Linked DNA regions of Schizosaccharomyces pombe. The gene in region 4 interacts genetically with the main gene of each other region. Each region holds a gene or a part of one and is shown on either strand. Other genes may lie near its edges. The genes, in order: atg1, fur4, atg8 and ura4.

What was found.
Region 1: mutations in ura4 (region 4) and atg1 impair growth when combined (synthetic growth defect), as found in Schizosaccharomyces pombe (one study listed by BioGRID).
Region 2: mutations in ura4 (region 4) and fur4 impair growth when combined (synthetic growth defect), as found in Schizosaccharomyces pombe (one study listed by BioGRID).
Region 3: mutations in ura4 (region 4) and atg8 impair growth when combined (synthetic growth defect), as found in Schizosaccharomyces pombe (one study listed by BioGRID).

The regions. Positions count from the first base shown.
Region 1 is NC_003421.2:847,684-856,915, reverse strand, and holds atg1 (autophagy serine/threonine protein kinase Atg1), read left to right. Parts: upstream 1-4,233; 5' UTR 4,234-4,311; coding exon 4,312-4,413; intron 4,414-4,475; coding exon 4,476-6,866; 3' UTR 6,867-7,083; downstream 7,084-9,232. Other genes in the region: dolichol kinase Sec59, read left to right, coding at 694-932, 990-2,265; thg1 (tRNA guanylyltransferase), read right to left, coding at 7,287-7,430, 7,484-7,588, 7,685-7,985, 8,047-8,282. UniProt on the Schizosaccharomyces pombe protein: Serine/threonine protein kinase involved in the cytoplasm to vacuole transport (Cvt) and found to be essential in autophagy, where it is required for the formation of autophagosomes.
Region 2 is NC_003424.3:1,840,184-1,848,652, reverse strand, and holds fur4 (plasma membrane uracil transmembrane transporter), read left to right. Parts: upstream 1-4,649; 5' UTR 4,650-4,971; coding exon 4,972-6,717; 3' UTR 6,718-6,745; downstream 6,746-8,469. Other genes in the region: SPOM_SPAC1399.02 (transporter), read left to right, coding at 763-2,532; uck2 (uracil phosphoribosyltransferase), read right to left, coding at 7,370-8,032; protein toe1, read right to left, coding at 8,360-8,469.
Region 3 is NC_003423.3:3,682,071-3,689,569, forward strand, and holds atg8 (autophagy-associated protein Atg8), read right to left. Parts: upstream 3,301-7,499; 5' UTR 3,196-3,300; coding exon 3,162-3,195; exon of another isoform or gene 3,081-3,161; coding exon 3,025-3,080; exon of another isoform or gene 2,859-3,024; coding exon 2,583-2,858; 3' UTR 2,211-2,582; downstream 1-2,210. Other genes in the region: rnf10 (ubiquitin-protein ligase E3), read left to right, coding at 1-2,012; cyclophilin family peptidyl-prolyl cis-trans isomerase Cyp4, read left to right, coding at 3,831-4,293, 4,387-4,529; SPOM_SPBP8B7.26 (uncharacterized protein), read left to right, coding at 5,054-5,138, 5,193-5,896; mug30 (ubiquitin-protein ligase E3), read left to right, coding at 6,469-6,702, 6,747-7,499. UniProt on the Schizosaccharomyces pombe protein: Ubiquitin-like modifier involved in autophagosome formation. With atg4, mediates the delivery of the autophagosomes to the vacuole via the microtubule cytoskeleton.
Region 4 is NC_003421.2:113,117-120,146, forward strand, and holds ura4 (orotidine 5'-phosphate decarboxylase Ura4), read right to left. Parts: upstream 3,510-7,030; 5' UTR 3,460-3,509; coding exon 2,665-3,459; 3' UTR 2,473-2,664; downstream 1-2,472. Other genes in the region: protein mug135, read right to left, coding at 1-262; protein tam14, read left to right, coding at 1,805-1,810, 1,868-2,000, 2,067-2,140; protein new25, read right to left, coding at 4,462-4,731; thioredoxin-related chaperone Pmp20, read right to left, coding at 5,307-5,777.

The DNA.
Region 1 (9,232 bases), 730 kb from region 4:
AAATGGCTCATTTTTATCAAGGTTCATTTTACATTAAAGAATGTTCATTCTTTGTAATAAAAACGATATAGATTCTAGTGAATTTGAAGGCATTTCTGGTTACTTACAGAAATTGTTCTAAAAATTGACTGGGAAACCCATTTGGCTGCTAGAAAAGGCGCATTAAATTGCTTTATAAATCCCAATTGTTTTACAAATTCATTTAATTCTTTTTACTCTTATTTCAACAAGTTTATGAAATTCATTCAAACAAACTATGATCATTCTTTCAAATCAACGTTTTACTACTAGGCTGACAGTTTCAATATTTCAATGTTCTCAACTTATTGTAGTACTTAATGAGAGAGAGAAATTAGTTTATCTTCAAGATATAAACAAATCCTCAATTTTCTTATTGAAATGAATCTTGATCGTAATATTCGATGTAACAGTTGTCTCCATATAGTACTTTACTGGTAATATCAACACCTCCTACAAACGCTTTCCTCTAAACCGATTAAAGTTGAAATTACTGGAGGTTGTTAATTCTTAAACATTTAAAAAACGCTTTCCTAATAAAAATACTTGAGAATCTGATGTTTTGGTTATAAGAGTACTTAGCAATCTAACGATTTTTTGCAATTGTTGCTATTTAGCAAATCCTCTGTTAATGAAAAACATCATTTCTGTTGGCTAACTGTTTGTTGATTTTTAATGTATATAATGTCGAAAAAATGTTATGATACGTCGGAAAAGATTGATCGTGAGCAAGAATGTGTTGAAGTGAATTATCAACATCGGAATTTTGAAAGTATTTTGGAAATATTTTCAGTTTTATTCATTCCTTTCTTATGCAACTCTGGCAAAAAGTTCCTCCAAATTTCAAATGCGTCCTTTTTTTTACCTGCATGCTTTTATTTATTGGGTTCGTCTAGCATAATCCAGCTATATGAGTACGATTTTACGAACAATTAAATTTTTAAACTTAAGTCAACTAACTCATTATTTAGGCCGTTATTGTGGTTATCATCGTTTCCCTTTTGTATCCTCTATGTCGGCTTTGGAGAAAACTCTGTCTTGTATCATGAGATGTACACGGTATGTCTTTACAACGCTCTTTTGTCCTTAACACAAAGATGGAAATGGCTCTCTATTGTTTTAGATGGACTGGGTAATTCGAGTGTTAATTTAAAACTTCACGAAACGGTCATCCTTGCCTTTCTTGAAATTACACAAAACAGTTTTACCTTCATTGAAGGCATTTTAATTTGTACCGGACTTACAGGTCTTTGTTTTGCTACATTTTCGTATGAAGTATCTCCTGTAGTTTCAGTGCTATCGGGAGTTTTACTCATTTCCTTACCTACACTCATTTTGTTAAACCTTTGCATATTAAAGCTTGCTGCTAAATTACATTTATCGGCACTCTTTACTACTTGTTTAATTTATTTCTTTAGCGCTTTGCTCGTATTTTTAGTGTCCAGGTCATGGGTTGCTGGGCAACTTGGACAAGCACCTGAAGTATGGTTGTTCAACCAAATTTTTTCGCATAGGAATTCCCTAACGAGGATTAAAATAATTATTTGGTGGATAATTTGCCTTGGTTGTTTTATTTTTATTCTTCTGCGAAGCAACCGTAATAATCCACTTGGCAAATACTTTACCACTGAAGATGAAGTGCTGAACTTTCGTAGAAAGACATATCATGCTTTGGTTGTCTTTTTATTTCTTCCGGTTTGTTGCTTAGATCCTCATTTTCTCCACCTGTCTTTTTCGGGAGTTTTATTCATATTTCTGTTTGTTGAAGGTATACGCATACTTCGTCTTAAGCCATTTGGAAAAATGATCCATGAATTTTTATGGGAGTATACCGATAACAGGGATCACAAGGGCCCCTTGATTATTTCCCATATATATCTTTTAATTGGTTGTGCAATTCCTATTTGGCTTTCGAATGCTTTAAAAGGTCCTGTTGCGTCGGTTGAATTACTGGTTGGTGTTTTATGTTTAGGGTGTGGAGATTCTATGGCTAGCATAATTGGGAAAAGGTTCGGAAAACATAGGATCTCAAAAACGAATAAAAGTATTGAGGGGGTATTTGCCTTTTCAATCTCAGTGTTTCTCGTTTTACACTTGACGCAAGCTTTTCATGTGTGTCCTTCAGTAACGTTTTGGAAAACGCTGTTTATGTCCTTATGTACGGCCATTTTGGAAGGTGTCTCAACGGAGAATGACAATCTCATACTTCCAATGTACATGTGGGTATTGTATCAAGCCTTGGATTAAGAATGTTTAATTCCATAAAATATTTTGCAACATCAAAGTAAAATATCTCATAACTCTGATGCTTTGCAAATGACAAACAAAAGAAAAATACATATATGTGCTTATATATGAAAAAATAAACCAAAGATGTAATTCTTTGCATATTCTCTTTGTTACTAATTCGACGTAAATAGATTTCCTTTAATAAAATAAAAAGAAAAATTTTACGTATTGCCAGGCCTATCATTAAATCATAATCACCTTAACAACAGCATCCACTGAGAATACTGTTTACAAAAAACCAACGTGAGCAAAAAAAAGATGGCAGATGTGACTATGAAACGAATAAAACTAAAACGGACTATAAATTTCGGTAAAAATGATATTACAAAATATATGTATATATAGTTTTGCTATTCAATCAGTCATATATTTAAAGGTAATTGACTATTACAGTTCGCATATTTAGGAAGATCAAAATATTCATTTATTGAGAAATGTATAACAACGAGTATCTGAGCGGATATCGTGGCACAATTTTAAGTAGAATAGGTTGCTTCGAAACGAACAGTATATTATTTTTGCTTGCTTAAAATTAATTAAACAGTGTACGACTCGGAGCATAAGCATTTTAATTCCATTTATTAATTTTCCAAATTTCCTAGAAAATAATAGATTAAAAAAAAATTCATTAATTTATTTATTGCTACAAAATCAAAATTTTGATTAACTTATTATTTTTACTTTATTTTTTTTTATTTTTTGTTTCAAACTTCATTGCAGTATTATTGGCAACAAGCACTTATATTCAGTTTCAAAACTTTTTTTATTTTATATTCTCGAATTAATTTATTTATTTTATTATCACGCAAATACAAAATTAAACTATTCATGGTGAGAAGGTGAATTTTTTATAACGTTGCTTGTTTTCAGTAGCGTTTTCGCTAATGTTGACTTTAAAGTCTGTTTTAGAAATTTGGATTCCACAACCAATCTCGTATATATCAATAAAGAGAAAAGCAACATATTATGATTGGAAATTTTCTTTTAATTTTCTGCAAGAGAGTTCTTACCTTCCATTATGGTCTTCAAGTCCTCAGGGCATGTTTGAATACTAGTCATTGCCCAATTCCCTGTTTTGTAGTATTATATACATGCGTTTGAGCCAAAACTCACACTGCATAAAAAAAATGATATTCTTTTCTTCAACCATAAATATTATTATTTAACACAACAAATGTCTACGGCCATACCTAGGCGAAAACACCAGTTCCCGTCCGATCACTGCAGTTAAGCGTCTGAGGGCCTCGTTAGTACTATGGTTGGAGACAACATGGGAATCCGGGGTGCTGTAGGCTCCTTCTTTTCTTTTTTTTTTGTCTTTTAAATCCAGTTTACTTTTTTTTTTTATATTATTTCTATATGGCATGAAACTGGTACAGTGGTACAAGTTGTACATCTGCCGCCGGTTTTTTATCCAAATTTACCCTCTATTTACACTTGCATTTTCATCTGCCTCGATCACTCTATCCATGACAATCGCCTTTTCCAACTAATTTGCCTTTTCGCGGGTATCTACGCTTCGTCTGGAGTATTATCTACTTCCGTTCTTATCCTCTAATTCCACACACACTTGCTTTCCGTACTCAAATCGGTAACTGACATGGCAAAAATTAACACATTTATTTCGTCTTAACCCACTTTCGGCATTTTTCAGCTGCACAAAAAGGGAACAATTTCAAAGAATTTAGACACTACCAGCAGGTATATGTGTGTAAAATATTATAATTCATTGAGTTAATACAATTTCCTCTATAAACTCGCATTCTATTCATAGTGCTTACTCCCATAAAACTTGTTATCCCGAAACCATATCTCCTGTTACCTTTTACAGCCGCACCACGATCGCAATTTATTTTAAGGTATTAAAGCCCAGTGCGGAAAGTGCCTTTTACGCAGCTATATTATCAATGGCGACCCGCTATCCTTGCCAACTCCCATGCTATCAAAGTGAGTATAAAGGCAGCTAAAACCCTTACACCTGTCTTATCGTGAACCAGAAGCTGTATGAACTTACAGACGAGTACAAATCAAACAATTGGTCCCTATGTCATTCGATCGGAAATTGGACGTGGATCTTTCGCAATTGTGTATAAAGGAAAGCACACGGTAAGTAAAAGAAGCAACTGCTTGTCTGTTTCAATGGAATTTGGTGGCTAATCGTGTTGCAGGAAACGAATCGAGTGATCTCTATTAAAAGCGTATTGACAAAGAAGCTTACTAAGAAACTTTTGGAGAATTTAGAAAGTGAAATTTCAATCCTTAAAGAGATCCGTCATGTGCATGTTGTGGAACTGATAGACTGTATTAAGGCTGGGCGGTTCATTCACCTGGTCATGGAGTATTGCTCCCTAGGAGATTTGAGTTATTTTATTCGAAAGCGAGAAAAGTTTAACAGTATTCCCTCCTTAGCCTGGATCAACATCGATCATCCGCCAGTTTACAAGGCTGGATTGAATGAGACGTTGGTTCGGCATTTTACCCAACAACTTGCTTCTGCACTCCAATTTTTACGATCGCGTTCTTTAATTCATCGAGATGTCAAACCCCAAAATCTTCTTTTACAACCACCACCCACCGCTGCCTATCTGGAAGAGCATCCCCAGTTTGTGGGAAGTCCCAAGCTACCAATGCTTAAATTAGCAGACTTTGGTTTTGCACGTTACCTTCAAACGTCTAGTATGGCGGAAACTCTATGTGGCTCTCCGTTGTATATGGCGCCCGAAATACTTCGTTACGAGAAATATGATGCTAAAGCCGATTTGTGGTCAGTAGGTGCTGTGTTATACGAAATGGCTGTTGGAAAGCCTCCCTTCAAGGCCCCAAATCATGTCGAACTTCTTAGGAGGATTCAAAAAGCTAAAGATGTCATCAAGTTTCCTGAAGAAGCTTTCATTCACCCGGACATTAAAACCCTTATCTGTGCTTTGCTGAAGCAAAATCCGGCTGATCGTATCGACTACGACGGTTTCTTTTCCAGTATTGTTGTCACTACTCCATTAGATGACGCATCTACTTTGACCGGTAGCGATATTCAAGATGCGGTTAAGGAAATAAACATTCCATCTTCTAGTCCTGCCTACATAACCGATTTTTTCCCAAAAAGTAATCCTGGCGCTCCTGCTCCTCCAGGCGGTTTGTTGCGTCAAGCTTTCCAAGCTCAGGGGTCTAGTATTCAGCCCTCTGAAATTACCGGTCGAAGGGTGCCTCATCGCTATGCACAAGATGGAAACACTTTACCATACACCCCCGTGTTTCCTCCTGAAAGTGCTCCTGCTGCTAGCATTTTCCCTCCTCGATTAACCTCTAAGCAACCTATACCCATGGCATCTCCTGCTAAGTTGACAAGTGATACTTCGAACAAAAGTAGCGCCTATGTCGTAGTGGACCATCATCCCATAATCTCTTCTACCCAACTTTCCAATGAAAGCCTAACCCACGAGCAATCAATCAATGGTAACTCGCCTTCACCAAACGAAGGTGTTTTTCAAGGTAGTTTCTCTCCTGAAAGCGCTCCTGTAAATAATCATGCGTTTCCCCATACTAGCCGGATGCAAATCCCTTACATGAAACCCAATGCTTTCCCTTCTAATCCTACCTACATTGCTTCAACCCCAGTCACTCAACTACGTCGTGCGTTTGAGCAAGCTACAGCACATGTACCTCAATCTGGAGGTGGTGCGCGAAATAAAAGCGCTCTAGAACGAGCACTAAATGTTGCAAACGCTAGGCTTAATGAAGTTGTAGTGGATGGTATGACAGATAATGGAAACACATCCCTTCCTACAAAAGAAAGCAATTTGGATAACAATGTCAACATTATCCAACCTTCCTTACCTGACACCGGTAAAAGATTGCTTGATGTTTTAGAAAGTATAGCGATGAAATCAAACTCTGTCTACCATCTGGCTGAAGTGAAGCTTGCTCAAATTATTCCTTCTTTGTCTGATGAAATGAAGCCTGGAGATACACTCTTGGATAGACCTTTGACTCCTTTTTCATTGGTTATGTTAGCCAAGGAATCGTATGTACTTTATGAGAGAGACATTGAGCTGTTACAAGTGGCGTTTGACGGTGTTGCTGCTTTTTGGGCCAACTCTGAAGAACGTGCATCTCCTGATTGCCAACAAGCCATTGAATGGTTTCGTCAAAGGTATTCAGAAAGTCTTGAGAAATCCCAATTTTTACGTGAAATTATTATTTCTCAAAGTGCCGCACATTCTTTGCCAACTACCAAACCTGTGTCAGCTTCTCAATTAATTTATCATAGAGCATTGGACCTATCCAGAAATGCAGCCACTAGTGAACTGTCAGGAAATGATGCACAGGCTTGTTTACAAAATTACCGGCTTGCAGCACATTTGTTGGAGTCACTTCTTGAGAGTAATTTTTCGACTCCAGACGGTGCTAACGATTCCAATAATTCAGTAACCATAAGAAATTTGATTGCTTTGATAACGAAAAGGCAAGAACTTTTACAATCGAAACAAATCCAGGCTAATGTAGCCAACAAAGTAACAGAAAGTGTTGCGAAAATAACACTTGCCCCCAATCTTGCTTGAACACCGACGATTTCGCCCTTTTATTGAACAAATTCGCATATTGTATGAGCTGAGCTCTGAGTCTAAATTTTGTTATGAATTCGTTGTTATGACCATATTATTTATATAACTTTTTAATATAGACGTTTTTAATTTTGCTTTTTTTATACATAGGGTTGATAGTCCCGTATATTTAACTCTTATTTATTGAGGTTTATCTCTATTCAAATTTCGTGCATATTATTTTTTTTCTCTTAAATTTTTCAAACAAGTAAAACAGCTATTTAACGTATCAAGGCAAGAATCTAGTACTTTTTTGATTTCCAAAACAAAGATTTGTTTTATACGGCCTAGAGCTGATGACTGCATGAGAGAAACAATTAAACGAGTGATAATGTTTTTGTTCAAACGACCCATAATTTACAAATGTGTGAAAGGAAATTATTGTAACAATACCTCAAGAAATGGCCTTGAAGTCCAAAAGTCATCGTCTATCAGACTTACGTGAAGGATAGATAAAACCATTTTCTTCTTTTGTTTTACGGAGAACTTTTTGTCTTGTTGATGCCATTCTTGATCAATAGGCTAAATTAAATAAGTAAGCAAAAATTAATTTAAACAAAGTTTGTCGAGCATACCTCACGAATCCAAATCGAGCCCTTTTTGTATATCTCTGGTTCAAAATTATAGTTGATGCCGAATTTTGAGAACAAAATTTCATGTTTTTCTGCGCTGACGGTACCCTGTAAAGTAATTCACCCAAAAGGTGAAAGTGGTTAGTTTTTATTGAAAGGAAGATAAATCGCTAGGGTTTACATAAAAAAAAATGAGCTACTTACCTTTAGGTACTCCTCGGCTTGAGTGTTTGTGAAACCTCCTTTGAGTATTAACATCCAGAAGGTAGTATTGTAAAGGTTATTAATATGACAGTCTACTTGTCGCCAATGCAAATAATCTCTTAATACTTTCATATTAGGATAAAGTACAGCTCGTCCATCAAATGAAGGGAGTGAAAGTAGTGGAATGTCAAAATGTTTAGGCCAATTGAAGACAAAAGCAGATGTAAATAAAGAGCAGACATGGCTAACAAGCTTACTCTCGCGCCGTTCATACAATTCGGTACTCTTAGACCAAACAAAACTTCAAGCAGAAAGGTTAGTTTATTCGATTCATGAGCTTATTATTCTGTTTTCATGCATACCTATACTCATCACTATCACCATAAGCTAAAACGATGTCGGTGAACTCAGACATGACTACGCGAGCTGCTGCATTCATTAAATTTAGACATCTCAAATCATTTGGCTTCTCAAAATCATGTTTCTTTGTGAACTTATGGAATCCTTTGCCATCAATTCGTATTACGATATAAGTCTCAGGTAGTAAACGATCCAATCTTTCGTATTGCTTCACATATTCAAACCTTGACTTGGCCATCCTTTCATAACAAATTATATGTATAATATAATGTAGCCCCGACCTTTTTCCATGTAATTTCCTCAAAAAGCCCACCGAAAATGCTTCGTTTGAAAATGTGAATTTCCTAACCAACCTTGAATCATAATTAGCGATAGATTATCGTTCGTTATAATTTTTAGCATATTGGATGGCAAAAAATGCCATGTCTCGTAATTTATTTTTTTTATTAAGATAATGTTATATAACTTGAAATATGCTAACAGTGGATGAAAAGAAGCGATTATATATTTAATAAAAAAAAAAATTACAGGCTAGCTTATTAAGAAAGGTGATATATCTTTACCAGCGCATTGCTAGTCTTGTTTACAACCACAATCGGCTTGCTACTGACTAAGGATGATCTTTTCCGCATTTCAATAGAAATCTTAGAGAACACGTATAGTATTCATTTATTCAGATTTGATCTGCTGCTTAATCATAACAGTTAAACTTATATTCATATTTACTATATAGTGAATAGTAAAGTATTAGTTAACTTGGATTGCTAGTGAGGTTAAGGCATATCTCCTTAGGGAACATTATATCCATTCAAAAATTATAAATTGCTAGTATGAAAATAAAGCCTTTAAGGAATCAAAAAATTTATGGAAACATTATTTTAGTACTTTTCATTTGCTCAATTAGTACCGCATTTCCAATTTAAACTTGAGTACTAATAAAGAAGCGTATACAACCATCTCCATCTGCAACAATTACATGCAAGCAGCAATGTGAAAGAGTACTTTTCTACAACTAAAGTACATCCTTGTTAAATGAATAAAAGGTCTTCATTGCAATCTCAAGGAGAGTCGTTATAAAAATAAAAAATTCGACACCAGCAGGATTTGAACCTGCGCGCGGAGACCGCAACAGATTTCTAGTCTGTCCCTTTAACCACTCAGGCATAGTGTCCTGGACGATATTACTTT
Region 2 (8,469 bases), on a different chromosome or scaffold from region 4:
CATTGCTGTCATTACATCTATATCAATATTAATCAACTATCCCGATATCCTCTTATCTTGGTAAATTTGCTCATTTCTTCACGGCATTATCGTTTTTGCTCACTCAAAAAGGAATACTCTTCATTCATTTTCTCGTCGTTTTTAAATGCCTGCTTTTTTCGACTTCCCTTCATTTTCTTATGCATAGACACTCTGTAGACTTTTCTCGACGAACCTCCTTATTTCAGTGTCCCTATTTTCCGGATATTAGCGCGGCTTTTTTTTTTTTGCTCTCCCTTTGCTCCATCGTTAGAAAAATCCTGTATAAATATTGCCTCTAAAGATCGTATTCAAATTTTCTACATGAAAATGCTTACTCGGTAATTACTTGGCCTAATGTGCATATTTTCTTATTTTTAAACTAAGAATATGTGCACTTAAAGCCGCGTCAATTTTCCTTCCTTATAATTTCCTATCTATGTGTTTTCTCAAAACGTACTCATTCCAGGCAAGTAGAAAAAAAACTCTACCATAACCAAAACTAGGCATCCTGGAAGTAGTGTTTTTATTCTGTGATTTAGTTAAAATTTCCCCCCTTTCTGATTGTAACAGACTTACTCAATTGTTTCATTAAAATTGCATTCGTTGTCTTGATTATTTATATTCTTTCCTTCAATATTATTTTTTTTCCTAGCAATATCTCTTTTTCTCCTAGCTGCATTCACCCTCTTCCTTACGGATTTTTTTCCCTAGTGTATTTGTGTTATAAAGTTACTAAACATAATGAATCCTTCTACTTCTCCAAATCGTAATTTGGCCTCCCCAAAGAGTTTACAACTCTATACCACAGGCAGTGAAGTAGCTTGGTATCCAACTGCGCTTGATGAAGCAAACGAAATAAAGTCTATAAACTCGAAAGCCTTTTCTTTCAAGAATCAAGATCAAATTTATGGTGCCGGTTCTCTAAAGTCTCGGTTTTCAACCCATGAAATCTCGTCTGAAAAAAATGATTCTCCTGATTTCACCCTTGTGTTGCCCTCCAATCGATTGTACATCGTTATTCCAGGACTTATGTTGTCGATTTTCTTGGCTGCCTTGGATCAAACCGTCATTACTACGGCTATTCCCACTATTGTAGCAAATCTCGACGGCGGTTCATCGTATTCGTGGATTGGTACTGCTTATTCATTGGCAGAAACATCTATCCTTCCATTTTGTGGTATTATGAGTGAAGTAGTCGGTAGGAAAATTGTCCTCTATACTTCCATTGTTCTTTTCCTCTTCGGTAGTGCCATGTGTGGTGCTGCCCAAAATATGCTTTGGCTTGTACTATGCCGTGCTGTGCAGGGCATCGGCGGTGGGGGTATTATGTCTTTAGTTACAATCGTTATAGCTGACATTACTCCTTTACAGACCAGACCTTATTACACAGGTTGTATGGGAGTCACTTGGGGGGTTGCTTCTGTTATGGGTCCTTTAATTGGAGGTGCAATTTCACAGAATACTACATGGCGCTGGATTTTCTTCATTAATCTACCTACTGGTGGTCTTTCGCTTGCACTCTTGATTTTTTTCCTCAATCTTGTACCCAAGCCTACAGTTTCGTTTTGCGTGTTTTTACGTGATTTTGACTTTGTGGGCATTGTAACCATTACGACTGGTGTTGTGTTATTTTTACTTGGCTTGAACATCGGATCTACAACAGGACATTGGGCCCATGCCAATGTCTTGTGCTATTTAATTTTTGGTATCCTTTGCATTGCCGGTTTTGTCGTCAATGAACTTTATACCACCCGCACTAGAATTATTGCTCCCTCGGCGTTTCAAACACTCTCTTTATCTTCTGTGATGGTAACCTCCTTCTTACATTATTATATCATGTCAACTGTGACTTATTACATTCCAATCTACTTTCAAAGCATCAAGGGTGATGGTCCGTTAATGTCTGGTGTTCATACTTTATCTCTGGCAGTTGTATCTTCAGTTGTTTCTGCCATTAGTGGTATGGGAATAGGAAAATTGAAAAATTATCGATATCCAATGATTGGAGGATGGATAGTTTTATTAGCTGGTACCGGTAGTATGATCGCAATATACTATGACACACCTATACCACGTACCATGGGATTCTTGGCTTTGACAGCTGTTGGAATTGGCAACCTGTTCCAACCCAATCTTATTGCTATTCAGGCTTCTGTACCTCCTGCTTTGATGGCGACTTCTTGTTCCGCATTTATGCTGCTAAGGAATATGGGTGCATCTGTGGGAATATCGATAGGAGCGGTAATTTATGATCAGCAACTTACGACACTTCTAAAAGGAACGGAATATTCTACAGGGCTTTCATACTCTCAAATTGCTTCAATTCCCAGCGTAAGCGAGAGAAACTTTGTATTCAATGTCTATGCTAATGCCATTCGTACAATCTGGATTGTAAATTGTCCAGTTGCAGGAGTAGGAATGCTTCTGTCGTTTTTTACAAAGCAAGAGAAATTATCTCAAAGCGTCACGGAGTACAAAGAAAAGGATAAGGGATTTAAAGATGCTCCTTGAAACTTATTTTTTAAAAAGCTTTTGTTGAAGAATCCCAAAACAACTGTTTATTAAATTTATTTTTCTTTACATTGCAGAATAAGGTCATTGTCTATTTACTTGATTTTTTTTATCTACGTTTGACTGGTAAAAACATTGTGTTTTCTATTACTAGTGTTTAATGTTTGTTTCGGTTTTTTTTTTTTTAACCAAGGATCGAACTTGATTGTTATAATTTTTTTCTGATATTGTTGTATGCTAATGATTTTTTCTTCGATAAGTTTACAAAAATAATTAATCTGCTTTTTGTTTTTACACTACATTTCTTCATTTCGCATTAGAGGCAGGGAGCTAAAGTGTATTGCATGTTAAAACAAAATCTTTCGCCATAAGGAGTTAAAAGTGTTAAAAATTCATGATTACTGCCATGATCTGTCGCAAACAATGTTTACTAGTTTTTCTCCCTCTCTCTTTCTTTTTTATTTTGGTTTACGGTGTAGGGATTACTCTTTACTTAATTTTAATATTTTTTAATAAAATCATTTATCTCTTCCTAGCTCAATTGCTTTGCTTGCAAAAGGTGCTATAGTTGCATCTTTTCTAAACTGCGCAACTAAGGATTTCTTATGTTTACTGATTGATCAGTTGTTCACTTGTTTTCATACTGCGCAGACCGTAGCAGCATTCCCGAACAAGGTAACGATGGATAAAAAAATCATCGCACTTTCTGAGACTATACCTTTTTGGTGGAACAAGCCGTTTGAAGCGCGGCATTCTAATATCATTTCTTTTTAGAAAAATTTAAAACCAAAACACTACTTGAGAATCTTCGTCGAAAACTCTTTTTACTTACGTGAAAAACTAACTGATAAGATTAAGCGATGTGTTCAACTGCTGGCCTTATTTTTATCTTGACAACTTTAAACTCAAAAAAATAGATGCGACAACAAAACCACGAAATCAACAGAAAACTACAAAAAGGCTTGCCGCGGTGAGCTTCCTATCAAAAAAAATGAATGAAAACAAGTATAGTTAATAGCTTGTTATATTGAAAGACGAAATGGACGACCCGTTATCGACCTATTCCAAGCAAACTAGTTTAACTATAAAACCTAAGCAAAGTTCATCAATTATCAAAATCAATTTTTGATACGACTAATTAGTTTCTTGTAGGAGTCGACATTACTTTCGACACCATTGTTTGCATCTATCCGTTTCTTTTGGATCCGGAAATTAATTGATCACTAGCTTTTACCAAAGTCCACACTGTCTTTTTCTTGAGTTTTTCTACATTTCATTTTTTTCTATTTTGTTTGGCATTACACGTTTGTTTTATCGTCGATATTCATCTTTTCCATTCGTTTGTTAACTTCAATTCGCACTGTTTTCCTCCTTCATTTCTTTGATTGTTCGTTCAAAAAGCATTACCCTGCATTCCATTCATACTTTTTTTTGACTCATATTGATTATACGAGTTTACTCTATCATCCTATATTTTGGCTTTTGAGTTAACATACCGTTTTGCACATAGATCAGCCTACGCCCGATTTCTCGTACTTGCAGACTTAGCGAAAATATCTTATTTCGTTGCTTTATCTATACCTCAAGTAAAGCTTTTGAGAATCAGGTCAGCTGCACAGCCAAGTTTTTATCAATTATCTCTATTGTGCATCCGTTCATATACTTATCATTAATTTATATTAAGGACGGCGGCGTAATCTAATCTTCGTCATTTGATAATACCCATATTCCTTACAATCTACGAATTCAGCCTCTTGGTTGGCTTTCTATCACATTAAGTTAGTTAGCGTTTTGGATTTAAACTTACACGCGAAAGATATCTCTATCTCCTCTGATTGCGCTGCGAAATAAAAAATTTTCTCTACATATAAACAAAGGTTTCTTCCTAAGAAAATACATATTTGCAAACTTTATAGGCTTAACATTGAGGGAATTGAAAGGCGACATAAAATAAAACATTTAACGATCTGTTTTGTAATAGCACACAGCTTTTCACTCATCTTTTTTCCAAAGATCGCTTGCTCGCCACTTTTATTGTGGAGAAATTTCTGTTACCTCTGGTCATTGTTACCTCTTAGATTGCTCTGAAAATATTTCAACATTCCACTTTTTCTTCTACTCAAGCCACAGTGCAAGGCCTTTGTCAAACCTTTGTAGGATTTTTTAATACTACATAACTGCTATTATTTGTAAAGGTGAAATATTTTACGGCACTTGTTGGTTTCCTCCATTTTTTTTGTCGGCTCTTTTTTTTTGTTTACGAACGTTTTTTCCTTCATTAACGAATTCACTCAGCTCGTTTAATATTTCAATCTGTTATTTAAAGTCACTTAATTAATTTCGCTCATCTTTTCTTTCCCTACAAAAGTCTTGAAAAAAGTTTTCTCATTTTTGTCGTTTGTTTTTTCTTATCGTCTGAAACATTAATCTTGTTAAATCATGGAGTCTGTGGATAATAATTCTTTTTTTTCACGAATTAGAAATAGCAATGCCTATAGAAAGGTCAAGGATTTTGTTATATTGGATCATAGGCCTGGTATGACTATGGCCGAGAGAATGTTGACTAACAAGGATCTATATCCTGTTCCTCCTTCCAAGCGCCTTTGGGGGCCTTGGAACTTCATTTCTTTTTGGTTAGCTGATGCTGTCAACATCAACACTTGGATGATTTCTGCCACCGCTATCGAGCTTGGCTTGAACTGGTGGGAGGCATGGATTTGCGTTTGGGTTGGCTATCTTATTTGCGGTATTTTAGTTGCAACTACTGGTCGCCCTGGTGCAGTATATCACATTTCATTCCCTGTTCTTTCTCGTTCTTCCTTTGGTACATGGGGTTCATTATGGCCTATTCTTAATCGTAGTGTCCTGGCATGCGTCTGGTACGGTGTGCAGGCTTGGATTGGTGGTGAATGTGTTGTTTTGATGATTCGCTCAATTTGGCCTTCTTTCTCCCATATCCCTAACACCATGGCAAAAAGTGGTACGGAGACATACCAATGGGTTGGCTTTTTTATCTTTTGGCTCCTTTCAAATATTGCCATTTGGTTTCCAGTACATCAAATTCGTCACCTCTTCACTTTTAAGGCCATTGTCGCTCCTCCTGCAGCCATTGCTTTCCTAATTTGGGCGCTCGTTAAAGCCCACGGCGCCGGTCCTGTTATTCATGAACCTACAAAATTAGGTCAGTATGAACATGCTTGGGTGGTAATTAATGGAATTGTAACCTGTATTGATGGCTTTGCGACTCTTATTGTCAATAATCCTGATTTTGCACGCTTTGCGACCACCCCTGGCGCCGTACACTGGCCTCAAATCATCACCGTTCCCCTTGCCTTTGGTGTAACTTCGCTAATCGGTGTTCTTGTTAGTTCTGCATCCAAAGCCATTTATGGCACGACTCTTTGGGATCCTACTCAATTGCTTGCCTCTTTCCTCGATCACTCTAACGCCCACGGTGTTCGTGCCGGTGTCTTTTTCATCGCATTTGGTTTGTGTATCGCTCAACTCGGTGTCAACATTGCTGCTAATTCGGTTTCTGCGGGTAACGATTTGTCAGCTCTCTTGCCTACTGTAATTAATGTTCGTCGTGGTGGTTACATCGCCTCTATTATTGCCCTCTGCATGTGCCCATGGAATTTATTAAGCTCAAACAATAACTTCACAACTTATTTATCCTCATACTCCGTCTTTTTGTCTTCATTTGCTGGCGTTATCATTGCCGACTACTATTTCGTGCGCAAAGGCTTGATTAGAGTTGCTCCTTTATACTCTTCCTCTTCTAGCAGCCCCTATTACTTTTGGAAGGGTATCAACTTCCGGGCATTTGCTTCTTACATTTGTGGTATGCTTATCAATATTGTTGGTATGGCTGGTTCAACTGGACAAAAAGTCCCAAAAGTTGCTAATACCATGTTTAATTTAAATTACTTTTTGGGTATTACCGTCGCCTGTTTATCTCATATAATCATTTGCAAAATCTTCCCTGTTACCGAATGCGGTGAGAAAATGCTTTCTGAGGTTCCCGAAGAAGCTGATGACTATTTGCTTACCCTTGCCTCAGAAGACTCCATCGACAAGGACAGTACATCTGAAATTTATATTGATGGACTTCCCACTGAGAAGGAGGTTGAGAAGGACGACGTTCTCAGTATTACGAGCAAAAAATTATCGGGTTGTTTTCCTTAGGTAAATTACTTTTTGTGGTTTGATCTCGTCTTAATAGTAATTTTTCAAGGTTTATTGAAGGTTCTTTATTAAATTATTTTTTGTTTTTAGTTTGTCATAAAAATTTTTTAGATCATCTTTGTTTATAATGTATTGCTAGTTAATGAATGAAGTGTATTAATAGGTTATGCATATTTGTTGCGTTTAGACAGTAAGCGTATTCATATTACACTAAATAAAGCTGTTTATCTACTAAAGGGATGACTTCAAAAGTAAGTAAGCGACATATCTTTATTATGGTAATAGTTACAGAAGTAACATAGGATGTTCTATAAAAATCAAACATCAAATGGAAATAACACGCCTTATTGAACACAGAATGTTGGAAAACAGAGATTAAAGATTACTGAAATAACTCGTGAAAAAATGGATGTAAAATTATGTTTATTAATTAAAGGTTTGTCGAATGTCACGGTATGGACTTGAGTATAATAAATTAAATAAATCGCGAGGATATGCAGTGTACAGGGCTTTGATGAAATAGATGTTACAATTGATTATATCTAAGGTTAATATATCGAAATGAACGAGAACGAATAAAAATTAGGGTAATTAAAATACAATGAATGGATCAGAAAGAGATATACACTGATGAGATGAAAGATCAACGATTCTAGCAAGTGCCAAAGTAGCGGTCACCGAAATCACCGCATCCAGGAACAACGTATTTATTAGCATTCAATTCGGGATCAATAGACGCTGTAACCATTCTAAGCTTGGGAAACTTAGCAAAGACATTAGTAATCCCCTCATTGCATGCAATGAGATTAACAAACACAATGTTTTCTTCTGGGATCCCCTTGTTGATCAGAGTTTGAATGGCGAGAATTACAGAATTTCCCGTAGCCAATAAGGGATCTAGCAACAAAACCAAACGATCCTGTGCATCCTTGGGTAACTTGCAGAACATCAATTTAGCTTCAAACGTAGTTTCATCTCTTTGCACCAATAACTTGCCGACGGGAACTGAGTAGTTGCAAGCAGCGGCCAATCCATATTCCATACTCTCTCCAGCTCTTAAAATGCTGACGCCGCATATATCTCTAGCTGGTTGGACGCCAGTATAGGTGCCGCCGGAACTAGTCTTTATTAAGCATTTCTTATAAGGTAAAGCACTCAATGCTTCTTGCATTAGCATGTTGATAATGAGATTGGCTGTGCGCACAAACTCTGAATGGCCGGTTTGCTGATCGCGAAGAATAGTCATCAATGATAACAAGTACATGGTCTGACGGAGAACCACGACATTCTCGGGCTGTTCAAGAGGAATGGACATATTGGATGGAAATTTTAATTTAACAAAACGATTCAATTCAAAAAAAAACTGAAATTCGATAAGAAAAGGTTGATGTAACAAAAGGAATTTTTTACAAAATTCGTAAGATAGAGGTAAGTTCGTAAACAGTCAAATGTGGAAACTTTTTTCTCTATTCAGGGCCAAGAATTCTTCCTTTATATCTTTTAGATCGCCAGTTTTTAGTTTTTTTCAGACACTTTACAGCCGATTTTCAACCGCGGAATTTCCGACCGTCTTTGATTAAGCTATTGCGGAACAACCGCGCTATCGCACCGAGGCACAAACGCGGGCTCTATGGGGCAAAGATTAGCCACGTTCCACAGTAGCGACTCCAAGGTTGTACGGTTTAAGAGCTTGTAACGTAGTGCTTGAAACAGGTCGCAGTGGTCCTTTAAACCAGGTGCTTTCAGCAGTGC
Region 3 (7,499 bases), on a different chromosome or scaffold from region 4:
GAGAAAAATCTGCATTGGGAGAGATGCCGTCGAACAGTAATTCTTCGAGCAAGTTAAATGCAAAATCTCCCAACTTCATTCCTTCTTCTTCCAATATTCCCCGATCATCTGCCAAAACTAAAGAACATAGCGCCGATAGAAAGCCTCATCGAAATTCCGAGAAGAAGACTCAAGGCATGCCCAGGAAGAATCAGCAATTAGCTTCTAGCGAAAGAAAAACTAAGAATAAAAAGCGTCTTGAAAAGCAATCAAGTGCAATTGCTGATTCTATTGGCGAATCACTTGATGATCCGCAAACTGTCTATGATGAACATCTTTTTGATATTTTATCTGCGAGAACTAATAAGCGTGGTCAGATTAATCTAAATCATCTACTTAATTTTCAGTTTACACCTAGGACTAATTCGAACGCCTTTTCTGCTCCTCCGCGTAGGTCCCGTGGATATAATACTTATGGTCAAGGATCTGGTCATCATCCCATGGATAAATCAAGATATGTTAATGCAAACTATAGGTTTGTTGTCTCTCCTATTGGTGATTATCAATCACAGAAACTAGATCCAGATTCTCCGGTAAAGTGGGAGGATGTTTGGCAAGTACTTTGCTCTTCCGATTTTCAACTAGCAGCTTGCCCGTTTTGCCTTGAAGAAAAGCCTGTCGCTGCAAGGATGTCCAGATGTGGGCATGTTTATTGCTTTTCTTGTTTGCTTCGATTCGTCGAGACCCCTACGGCGGCGGAGGTTAAAGCCGCTGAAACTTCTGGCACCAAGATAGTAAAATGTGGTCATCGTAGCTGTCCTATTTGTTGGGATAGCATACGTTTACGAGATGTTCATCCTATCCGCTGGGTGGAAGACAAGGAATTTCAGAAACTTGAGGAAGGAAAGTCCGTCTGCCTTCGTTTATACCAGAGGAATAATGGATCTATACTTGCGTTTCCTAGATCTTGTAGATCTTTTGCTTTAGATGGATCATTTCATTCAGATGAAATTCCTAATTTTACTATGAGCGGGGCTGCGTACGCTCGTATAATTATTGGATCTCACGATTATATGGTTCAACAACATTTATTAGAAATTGAGCAGCTTCAGCAAATAGCTGCTGAAGATATTTCATTATATGGGTCTGCAGATACATACTATGAACGAATCACACAAATTTTGTTAGATCGAATCTCATCTTTATCTGAATCTGTTAATGAACAGAACATCAAATCTTTGCAAACCGACATTGATAATCTTTGCCTTCAAAGTAATAGCCTCAAACAGCTTTCCGAAGTTGACGATTTGAATGATGTTAGCGGATCTGAAATCGCAGATGCCTATCTATTCTATCAACCTTTCGCTCACTCCCACATCTATCTCTCTCCTTTAGATATTCGTATTTTAAAATCTGCTTTCGGATCGTACGAAAATTTTCCTGATGAGCTTGTTCCTAGGGTAGAAAGAATATCATCCGGTCACTTAGTGAATTCTGAGCTTCGTCAGCGGTTCAAATATATGGCTCATTTACCTGAAGGCTGTGAAGTTGCCTTTATTGAGTGTGATTGGTCTAAGATTATTCCCAAAGAAGTCTTGTTAACCTTCAAATCAGAAATCAGTAAACGACGCAAGCAACGTAAAGCTCAAGAAATGAGAGAAGAAAGGTATCGACAACGGGCTGAACGTGATACAGAGGAACAGATATACTCCGAGTTAAATATGCAGAGACCTGTGCCAAAAACCGTAGTGCATGAGGACCCTGCTGAAGCATTCCCCACATTGGGAAGTCATCATCAATTTGAATCTACCGATGAGGTTAATACAGATGAGTCTACCTTATCTACTGCAAAGACTGTTTGGGGAACAAGAGCTCTTGCCAATATTCAAAATGACACCGATGATCAAGACGATCTTGATGGTTGGAAAGTTGACTGGGACAAAGTTGCTCAATTATCTGCACCTTCCAAAAACTCAAAAAACAAAAAAAAGAAGAAATTAGTTTTATTATCAACAGGTGCCGCCCATCGATAAAGATGGAGCATTCTCAGTGATGAAATGCTACTGAAATTTTTGAAATGCAGGAGTGGGCTTTATTTTGAAATATAGTTATAACACTTGTTGCTTGAATTATGAAAGTTTACGATTGACCAATTTTTTGGGGCATGTGAATAGTATTCGCTATTATGACAACCAGTTAATGTAAAAAAGGATAGAATCAGCTGATGATATATATCTACTTATTATTTATCAACATTTTAATATTATTAGAAAATCAAAATCAATTTTTTTAATTGATGGTTTTTATTAATTAACAAGGTAAAATAACTTTGTTGTCAAAGCAAACTAGTCATAAGCGTTCATCACATCTATTGTAAGACAAATCTGAAACATCCTTAAAATCGTGGTGGCTAACCTGAGAATGATATGTATAAGACGCGCGTAAAATAATCATAATGCAAAAGCAAAGAAACTTGAAAGCTAAAAAGCTAGAAATGCAGAGTAAAAAAAACATAAAGAATCATTCAACCATTGTCCACAAACAATTTTGCTGATCACAATTAAAAGAAGGCGGGGCCATCTTAAAACAGGCAAATTGTTGATCTAAAAAGGAAACACTGTTCCAAATGTATTTTCTCCTGAATACGTGATATACAAAAAGCCGTCCTCACTTTTATGCTCTTCGTATATCGTTGACATCAAGGCCGCTGTCGGGGGCAAGATTTCATCAATGAAAATAAAGATGGCCTTCTCAGGAGAAAGTTTTATCCGTTTGCGAATAACATATACAAATTGACCAACTGTAAGGTCAGATGGAACGAGATATTTCTTTTTATCTATTGCAGCAATATCAGATTTATCAACTTTCTCGCAAATAACCTGTTAAGTTAGCAGTTAAGTTTAAAACGTAATTTGTATTTTTGAAAGAAAAAGGTCAGACTTGTAACAATGGATTCACTTTTGATGACAAAAACAATGGGTGTTGTTCAATTCACCACTATTTTGCTCTGAAACCTGTTCTCTTTGACCACCAGACTCTACTTACAGGTATTCGATCGGGATATTTTTCCCGGATTCTTTGAGACTCTGTTTTTCGTTTCTCTGATTATTAATTAGCCTACTAGTTCCAGGTATTCTACAATGCTGTCCAAAAAACAACTTCTATAAGTTTTTGACACATACCAAAAGAAAAGTCGTCCTTGAATTGAGAACGCATGAGAACTCTCAAACTTCTTGCTTGAAGTAGTAACTCCTCTCTTCAATTGCTTCAAAATTCGGTGTTCTTTGTAAACGGTGCGTGAGTTATGTGGTATACGGTCTTGGATAAATAAGCGTACCCTTGGGTAACGTATACAGAGATATGAAGCAATCTTATGATACTATGATAAGTTACCTTATTTCGTAATAAATAAATACTTTACGAATCTTAAGCAGTACACAATCAAAAGGAATTTTTACTACTTCTTTATAGTATGATAGCCATAATTGGTATATACTCAATCCTTGGTACAACAAAAGTCACAACTCTTTTAGGAAGAAAAGCAAGAATGGAAATAAAGACGTTGTGTAAATAAATAATAGCACGCTTAACACGTAAATACCTTCCAAAAAAGGTTAGGAAATAGAATTTTGCAAATAATTACTATTTCTATCTTTCATTAAATAATCAAACCATTAGAAAAATAGTAGTGTTTGATGTAAACAAATAAGCGCTTCTTGAATTATTTGCTTAACATTGTGCTAAAAGTTGCTACAGCAACCAAAATCTAGCGAGTCTTGCTATTAAACCCCACCATAACTATTTATTTATCCTTTACCACACAACGAAGCTTTTAGTTTGTGAAAACAAAAATGAAGTTGTTCTATTTCTCTTTACTTTTTACTCTTTTCTTTGGGCTTATCTCTGCCAACCGTGGCCCCAAAGTTACAGACACAGTGTATTTCGACTTGCAACAAGGTGATGAGTTCCTTGGAAGAGTTACCATTGGATTGTTTGGTAAAACTGTTCCCAAAACAGCCGAAAATTTCCGCGCATTAGCCACCGGAGAAAAGGGATTTGGATATGAAGGATCTATTTTCCATCGCGTTATTCCCAATTTCATGATTCAAGGTGGTGATATTACGAAGGGTGATGGTACTGGTGGAAAATCAATTTATGGCAGCCGTTTTCCTGATGAAAACTTTAAGCTTTCTCACCAACGTCCCGGTTTGCTTAGCATGGCTAACGCTGGACCCGATTCCAATGGATCTCAGTTTTTCATTACTACAGTTAAAACACCTTGGTTAGATGGACACCATGTTGTTTTTGGTGAAGGTAAGAATTCATATTGTAGTTGTATATGTTTTATAAAAGTGACTATTTGTTTTCTTTTTCCTTTTTTTTGTTTGCTAATACTAATTTTATCAGTCCTTTCTGGTTACGATATTGTCAAGAAAATTTCCAAAGCTGAGACTGACAACCGTGATAAGCCTCTTGAAGATGTAAAAATTATCAAATCTGGGCAGTTGTCTCAAGAAAATGTTGAAGATGACGGAACAGATGAATTGTAATCCCTACTTTCTATTTATGAAAGTCATCAACATCTAGTGTTTATAAGATTTACTTGAAAAGCAATGATTTTACATTCTGTTAACATAAACGTTTATCATTGGAAGGATCACTTCTTGTGGTAGTTTGTTTGCATTTTCTGACAGCCATAGTTGTATAACTAATATACGCATAAAGAATGCGATTTTAACAAGTTTTCAATTGAATGAATATAGAACTCTACGTATATTATCCAATTTAGCAAGCGTAATAGCAATGCTGCAATTCTGATAGTAAGTATTGACAACAAACGCGAAGCTTATTAGCTGCTTACTATTTTGTTATGTTTTATCAAAAAGAACTCAAAGACATTATTTTTTCCTATCAGCTGGCTGATATTACTAGCACGTTGTGTAGTTGTTTACCCTATGGGCTCTTAGAAAAGCGGACTTAAGGAATTTCGAGAGTCGGAAGCTGTCCACCGCAAACATTTGGGTAAAATCGGTTTTTGCGTCAATTGTGAGAAATCAATTTCAAACTAATCGTAATGTTTGACTCAACAAAAAAATCACTGCATTCGATGTCGGATTCTGCGAACCGCTTCCAGAATAAGATTACATCGAAATTACCAGGTAAGCATATTTCCTTTGCTTTTTGAGACATTACTAACAAAATGGGATTTATAGGTGAACATGGCGAAGATGCTATGTATGATATTAGATCCGTTCATGGAACCGGGCCTCGTTTATCAATAAAATATGTCGATGTTACAAAATTGCCTCCTCCTCCAAAACATGCTTCACAGTTGCGTGCCGGTGGTAGTAGTACTGGAAGTACACCTAGAACGGCTAGCCCGGCTGTAGGAAATCAAGATTATTCGAAACCCTCTTATTCGCAGCCTTCTTATTCCCAACCTTCACAGCCCCCCAAGGAACCCGCTCTTCCTTCAAGAGGGACTCCTTCACTTCCTAGTCGACCAGGGAGTCGTCCGTCCGTCTTAAATCAAGAACAAGTCCCACCACCTCCTGTTCGTCCTAATGTAATGTCTCAGATGCCCCCACCTCCCTCCTACAGCTCTTCTGGTTCTTATTCCCAAACTTATCAGTCAAACGCTAATTATACTGCCTCTTCTCCTCTCCCTACAGCTTCTGCAAATGCACCCTTGCCGGTTCCTCCTCCCCGAAGGGTTTCTCAAAACAGTTCATATGCATCTGGATCTGTTCCCGCGGCGACTGCTGCTTCTACAGCGTCGCCTGTTAAGAAACCACCTCCACCTGCACCTCCAAAGCCAAGAAGACTTGCTGCCCGAACTTCTAGTAATTCGTCCGGTGTAAGCTCGCCAACTTCTGTTCCACCTCCGGTTCAAAGGAATACTCGACCCAACCTATAAACCAAATTTTTGCTTTCTATTTTCTTTCTCTTACTACACCATTATTACCTAGGATGGCCTATTTAGCATACTAGATGTTATTCAATGTTTAAATCATAATCTTCTTAAATCAACTTTCCTACGAATAGTCGTACATACTAGGTAATTTGACAATTTAAAATGAAAGGTATCATCAATGTAGGAACGTTCAAAAATCTTAAATAAGGTACTGCGAAGTCGACATGGTAATTTTCTTTGTAAATGTCATAATATTTACTTCTGCATTTAATGACATACATATTATACAAGAAGAGTAAAGAACTTATCTGTTTTAACAGTATTCACCTTCAAAGATCTTAGAAAATTGGTTCAACTGTGATGATCTTTTGACGAAAGAATGTTAGAATGACTACGCCATGAGAACCTGTTGAATATCGTAATATTTAAGAAATAACTATACCAATATATGTATAGTGTAGTATGGCCTAGATATGTACCATACTTTTACAGATTTGTCTTTTTGTTTTGGGTTAGTCCCAATTGTTTATCTGTAGAGCGAAATATAGATCTTTCTTAGAAGGTGAATTGCTTATATGAGTCGCCCTATTGAAATAGCCAATGTGTCTTCTGGAAACCGTAGAACGCTCCCAGCACTTCATGGCTCTAGTTTTTCTAGCCGCTCAGAACTTGACAATAATACAAATTCAAAAATATCACGTCGCTTAAGAGAGTTAGTTTGTCAACGTATGGGTGAAAATCCACTTCGACTTCGACAGTCGTTTCATGAGACAATTTCTAATGATAGTTACGGGAATTCAGAGAAATTGGTATTTAGGCTAATTGTTTGGCTAATTTATTAACAAAATTATAGGTGATCAGGCCCTGCATTTGTTGTAATAGCGTCCTGCGCTACCCTGCACAAGCTATGTGCTTTCGTTGTTCATTATGTATGACTGTGAACGATGTTTATTTTTGTTTAAGTGGCTCCCAAATAAAGACAAAAGCTTCAACCGATGGATCACAATTTATCTCAGTTGAACATTTTGTTGAAACAATTCATCAAACACGAAGTGCCTTGCAACTTGCTAAGCAGCGAACTGGCAACGTTCAAGCTATTGTGGCTGCAGGCTTACCATTACGAGAACTTATATCCTTAGTATTTGGAAGTCCACCGATATTGAATAAACTGTTCTCGGTTAAAAATGGTTGTTCAATCCAATCTTCCGGACTAAATTATAAGCTCATTTACCAATTGTACCATGATATTACAAATTTAGACATTTTAATAACAAATGAGTTGTTAAGAGCTATCGAGAGTTTACTTCGGAGACCCATGCTATATTGTCATGATCCAGCGGATTATCAATATCTTCTCATTCTTTTGGAAAATCCTTTGTTGAACTCAAAATCAAAGAATATAGTGAACAAGAGTAGCAGCATTTTGAAGAGGATTTTGGGAGTTTTATCTAACTTGAACGAGAAGACACATCATTTTTTTATTTCTTGTTTTAAAAAACAACCTTACAACAATCCTAAGTTTTTTCGAAGAAAAGTCGATCTCATAAACAAGTTTATTGGTCAACGATTAATGGAAACTTACAGTAGAAACAAAAGGAAGCACTAC
Region 4 (7,030 bases):
TACAACGGTCATTGTAACACTCGTCGTTATCAAAAGCCCTTTTCTTGGAATTGAATAACGTTCTTTCAGATTCAACAACAAAATTCAAATTTTTCTCTTTGTCTTCCAATGCTTTCCTTTCTAGCTCAAGCAACTTTTTTTTTGCCGCAATTTCAAAGTCGTTCAAAAATCTCCTTCCCTCCTTTAACGACCGTTCGCAGGGAGGTTGAACGCCCAAGTCATTCGCAAATAGTTCATTTAACCTATTGTCTTCTTCAGACATAGTTAATAATATTTTCTGCTTTATAACGTCAAAACGTGGTAGTACGACAAGGTACAGTTTAGCAATGGTAATTGTCAATTAAGTTGATGTACACAGAGCGTCAGCATTGAGCAATGTAAACAAGCCAACCCCATATACGAGAAATAATTCGCGTTAGCAAACACTACACTACCTTATGTGACTCACTGACTATTCACATTTGCTGAGCATATCTCATCCATCTGATCATGAATGGATTAAATCTAAAAAAAAATTAATTGCTCAAGCTTTGAATGTAAAAACTTTGTTCTCGTCTTAAAACTTCAATCAAAAACGGTAGCAAAAACATTAACTTAAATGCTTTGGCCGGGAATCGAACCCGGGTCGAATCGATGGCAACGATTCATTATACCACTAAACCACCAAAGCCGATTTATTCCTTCATAATTTTTGTACCATATAACTCTTCAAAAAAAATTTACTCCAGTGTACTTAAATTTTGTTATTCCAATATGAGATTTATTTTGAGAAATACGGGCTAACAGTGGAAATTTTCATTTATCTAAAAAAATTTTTACAATCTCGGTTTTTTATTTTGCCCTTCTCTATACCAGCGATAGATAATTCCAGTTAGTTTCAGGTTTCCCTTAAGTATGTTAAGATGGCTTGTCTGTTCATACTGATACATTTTTACAAATAAAATCACCATAATCTTGCCGCTGTCATTAGGAATTTCACTTACAAAAGACGAATATGTTATAATAAGAAGTTGCCAGATATCAAATTACCCCAATCACCATTACTCTGCAAACTAAGATAGTGTCCAATATTAGTCAGCACAGTATATTTTACCATCCTTTTCCTATTACCTTTTATAACTAATATTCATTTTTGCTTATCGATCACTGAATATTTCTCTTCTCGACAGTTATAAATATTAATTCACATGTTTACTAAATAGAGGATTATAATGGAAATGCATCTTATCACTATTTTTTTTATCGAAACTGTTTGGTTTTTTGGTTGTAAGCTACGCAGTTTGGTATCTGATTTAAGGATACGTAGAACTGCGGTGAGTTTTCCTTGTGATCTATTATATTACAATACACGGGTTGTATAAGTAGCAACTGAGTATAGGTATTGTATTAACTGGGTTATAATGTTACCTATCACTAATATAGCTCATAACTGAACTGAGGAACGAGGTTCAGCAGTAGCTCTATTTATAGTATTCAGATAATATAGATCTTAATAGATTATCATTAAGATTAATCTCCATATCGTATCATACATGGTACGATATATAATTAGAACATGTGACATATAGTGATACACAACGTAGTGTATCATAGCGTAGTGTAGTATTGCTGACATTGGTAAACACTGTAAGTTCGTACCCTTTTGTTTGGTATATAGTATAACGTATTAGTGTGTACTTTGAAAGTCTAGCTTTACAGCTTGGCATTGTTCATACAAACGTCTTCAGCATATCTTTCCACACTTGCTCTGTACACGTATTCTTTCCCTCTTATCATTCCTGTTTTTCTTTTTTAATAAACCAACATGCCTGTAAGTAGTTTTATCTTTAGAAATCTGTGCATCATGGATCCTAACTATGTCTTTTAGACGGTTCAAACTCCCTCTCAGCGTCGTGCAAACACACAGTTTCAGAAGAACATTACTCGTCGTGTAAAAACAAATTCAAAAGAACGTTATGTTGCCAAACATCCTCCTACCAAGATTCCTCGTAACATTGCCAGTAAGTAAGAATTGATCCTATTGTTAGCAACTTTGGCTTGTGTTTCATACTGACAATGCATCTTAGTGTTTTTTATTCTTCTCATGTCAGGAGGAATTATTTTGGGAATACTTAGATTTCTTTTGACGTTTTTTTCTTAAGAACATGTGATTGGAGCAATTTTAAAACCTATTTGCACCGATATTGTGTATTATACTCCGAGAAAAAGTATACTAGTTTTGAATAATAAAGCTTGTGATATTGACGAAACTTTTTGACATCTAATTTATTCTGTTCCAACACCAATGTTTATAACCAAGTTTTATCTTGTTTGTCTACATGGTATTTTACATTCATCTACATACATCTTTCATTGGCTTTGTACATAGTTATCATTACAAGTCTAAAAAAATTCACTCTTTTCTTATTCAATGTCAATCCAAGAGAAAAGATTGTGGTAATGTTGTAGGAGCATGTTTAATAAATTACTATAGCAAATTACTTTTTATTCCCAAGGTGTTTATCTATAATAGTTAATATTTTAGTCGCTACATAAAATTTTACCAAAGAGTACTTGTATACTAATTCTAAATGCCTTCTGACATAAAACGCCTAGGAAAACAAACGCAAACAAGGCATCGACTTTTTCAATAACCAACCAAAAAAATTTTACATTAGTCTTTTTTTAATGCTGAGAAAGTCTTTGCTGATATGCCTTCCAACCAGCTTCTCTATATCTCTTGGCTTCGACAACAGGATTACGACCAGCTCCATAGACTCCACGACCAACAATGATGATATCGCTACCGCAGTTTACAATCACTTCTTCAGGAGTACGATATTGCTGTCCCAGCCCGTCTCCTTTAACATCCAAGCCGATACCAGGGGACATAGTTATGTAGTCGCTTTGAAGGTTAGGAAATCGACGACCAGCTATAAAGCCAAAGCAAAAATCGGTATGCTTCTCAAACCATTCTAAGGTTTTCTCTGTGTAGGAACCAGTAGCCAAAGAGCCTTTGGAAGACATTTCAGCCAAAAGCAAGAGACCACGTCCCAAAGGTAAACCAACTTCTTTGAGGCCTTGTATAATACCCTCGCCTGGCACTGTATGGCAATTTGTGATATGAGCCCAAGAAGCAATTTTGTACACACCAGATGCATATTGTAGCTTGACGGTATTTCCAATGTCTGCGAATTTGCGATCCTCAAAGATAAGAAAACGATGCTTTTTACCTAAGGCCACCAGTTTTTCTACCATATCCTGGTCGAAATCCTCGACAACGTCAATATGTGTCTTGATAACACAGACATAGGGTCCAATTTTATCTACCAATTCTAAGATTTCGGATTTCTTCGTCAAATCGACCGCGACTGACAAGTTGCTTTGCTTTTCTTCCATCAAAGCCAACAATTCCTTGGCAATGGGATTTTTCATCCCCTCAGCTCTAGCTGAATAGCTTTGAAATACTCTAGCATCCATAACTTTGCTTTTAAACCTTTAATTTCGATCCAAGCAAAAAAGAGGTTCTTGGTAGGACAATACGGTAAGAAAACACGACATGTGCAGAGATGCCGACGAAGCATAGTTAAACTGGGATGGTAAAATCAATTAAGAATTTATAAAGACAAAATTGTATAAGTCTCTAAAACATCTTAATTATACCTCACAGAACTATCTAAAATATATTCACAAAGTGCAAACATTATCATGAAAAAGAACCATTTTAATTTAAAGCAAGGGCATTAAGGCTTATTTACAGAATTTCTTACTTTTGTAAAGATTATAAGGCTGATTATCTTTTTCACCATGCCAAAAATTACACAAGATAGAATGGATGTTTGAAATTAAACGTGAGTATACAAACAAATACACTAGGTAAATCGAAACATTTTTTTCTCCATTAAGTAACAAATTCCTATTTAGAGAAAGAATGCTGAGTAGATTAAATAATCTATACAAACTTTTTTAACACAAATGCATACATATAGCCAGTGGGATTTGTAGCTAAGCTTCAGGAGTTTTATCCATTTAATGTATGGAATCAAAATTTAAAGCTTCTGTCAAAGTTTAACAATATTTCTTTTGGTTTAAATCAAATCTTCCATGCGATTAAGAAGATAGATGCTGAACAAAAGAAGCACATGGATAACCACAAAAGCAGTTTGCTCATGGGTACAACCATGAATTTTTTTTTCGACAATGATTCAAAGACCAGTATATCCAATACGCATCCTAGAATCTAGTCAAAGAAGAACCTAAAGTAGAGATGCAAATGCGCTAAAAAGAGTGGATATAAATTCAATATCATTTATAAAACAACTTCTTCCATTAAAAATTCCTTGGGCAAAACAAAAGTTCCAATCATAAAAAGTTAATAAGTTCTGAGTTGTGTCAAATCTGACATGGCATTCCTCAATAATGACACTCACTCATTATGTAAGCATCGAAAACATATTAAAATCTATACAAGCTGTTTTGTCATTACGGTCTGGCATCAACTTTTTTAGAGGCGGTACGAAGATGATTTTGCACACGGATAACCAATTCTTCATGAGATCCGCTAGTTTTAAGTGAATTTTTTTTACAATACTCAATTAACTGTTTTTTTGACCATTGACTAGGAGGACTTTGAGAAATGGAGGATGAAGCTGTCTCCCTGGAATTGTCTGTGATAGGACTAACTACAACCGCCAGGGAAGAAGCAGCAATAATTGCAGCAAACGATAAAGTTAAGACATTAGCTATTTTCATCGAAGATGAAATACAAATGAGTAAAAAGAACCCAAAAATGAAAACTGTTATTAAAAAGGAGATTTTGAAAATTTAAAGGTTGAGGTAAAGAACGGTTGTAGAAGACGAGCATCTAGAGGAAGACGCCCCCAACTGTGGCCAACGTTTTTCATTACCCAAATTCATCTGACATTGATTATGATACATTGAAGGTGTGCTTACATCTTTCTAGTCATTATTTTGATACCACCACTTAGAATATCCATTTCAACTTCTACCGATTTTCAATCGTGTTACGAAAACTTATTGTAATCGATTCAACGTTTTACTTGACATTAATTTTTTAAGCATATCTACTTTCTTATAAAGAATTGTACTAGTACTCAAACAATGAGTTGTTAAGATAATTGTGTATAAAATTTCATAAATCTAAACATATATCATCACAATGACAAAAAAAACTCAAATATGGAGTGCTTTATCTCCATCATTTCAAACGCCCTTAAATAAGGAGCTTATCTTTTTGATTCTAAGTTTCGTTCATTAAAGGAAAAAAACATTCCCATCAAAACAATTAGTACAACAGTTCATCAGATTTAAAGAGAGCTAAGGACCTTGTCAGCGGAGGAAATATCAACATCGGTGACCTCGTTCTCAATGAAAACCTTGACAACCTTGCCATTCTCGACAACAGCGGCATAACGCTTGGAGCGAAGAGGGCCCAAAAGACCGCTAGCGTCGAAGCCAGCATCAAAGGCCTTGGTAAACTCTCCGTTCCAGTCGGCGACAAAGTGAACACCACTTTGCTCACCACCGTCGAAAGACTTCTTCCAAGCCTTGGTGACGAAAACGTCATTTACGGCAACGACATAGATTCCGCTGATGCCCTTGGCAGCAAATTGCTTCTCATTTGCAATATAGCCAGGAACTTGAGAAGAACAAGGAGGAGTGAAAGCGCCGGGAACACCGACAATGATGAATTTGCCTTGAGAAGGGAATTCAACAACCTCTTCGGGCTTGTTTTCCCAAAGAGTAACTTTAGGCAAAGTAGATCCGACAGCAACCATTTTTAATAGTAGTAATAAATTTGTGTAAAAGTTAAAGCAAGTGGTATAAAATCTTTAGGAGTAACGGCGTATTCAAAAAATGTCGTTCAAGTTTAAAGATAGTATTATCAAGACAAATGGGCACATGTCGTTAATATATATACCTTTCTACAAAAACGAATCTTTTGGTGACGTCAAATCACCAAATTTGTCGGGATGGAAGATTTTTTTTCTTTACTGTTCTTCATCTTTGTATGAAGAGCTTTGTGGGCTGCGAGTGGTGGAAAATCCCAACCGGCACTGAGACCGCGCACAGCTGCGTTTTCAATGGTTCGTGCGATATTCGGTATTTGACTGTTGTAAAAAGGCAAGAAACGCTGAGACAAAGTGTTTACTAGACAGCCATTTTTATTAAAAAGAAAAAGAAAATGGCAATAGAGAAGATTACGTTATCGGGTAGTATGCATGCCCGGGTGTTAATTATTCCTTTGAAATTTTGAATTTTTAAGGTTTTAACGAAGTGATGATGTTTTTCTTGTTTAATTTTCACATCAATATCAGCAGTAACGTTAAGAAAAAAGTTTGATTCATTTTCAAGGTTGTTTAATTGCTTTCAAGAAAGTCACTGTAGTTTCCCCTCTAAAATAGGTGAGAAATTTTCATCAAATTCGATTCATCACTTCCTGCACCTCTCGGAACTGTAGATACCTTTTCAAAATTTATTGCTCACGATTTGCTTTGCGGTATCTATGAACAGATAAATGGCGCAAACCCCGACGTGGTATAACGAACCGCAAATTTTTGAGTCCTCGAATTCATTTACGAATTAGAAATGTTAACACAAAGACCACACTTGTGTTCGTCAAATCAATTTTCCGTGGTATTGCGACACAATTAGCCAGTGCTATGAATAGAGCGAGAAAGGTGGAAAAATTGACAAACGCGTCTCACGCATCAATTGCTCGTCAAAATCTCTCTAAAAAATTTTAAAAAGAGTATTAAAATATATTGAAACGTTGTGAAAAATTTATTTTATAGCTAATACTCAAATATCACGATTTTACCGCTTCTACCATCTGACTGGTAATTGATAAGTACGTATACAAACACATTCCACGTGTCTATTCAGCAATTATTTAAGGTACAGTAAAGATGCAAAATATCGTACGTACTGCATCGCTATAAGTTTTAACAAGGACTATTACATCACAAAAGACATTAATGGTAAGCTAAGTGTCTATGTTTATACGATTTACCGAACTAGAAGGTAGGAT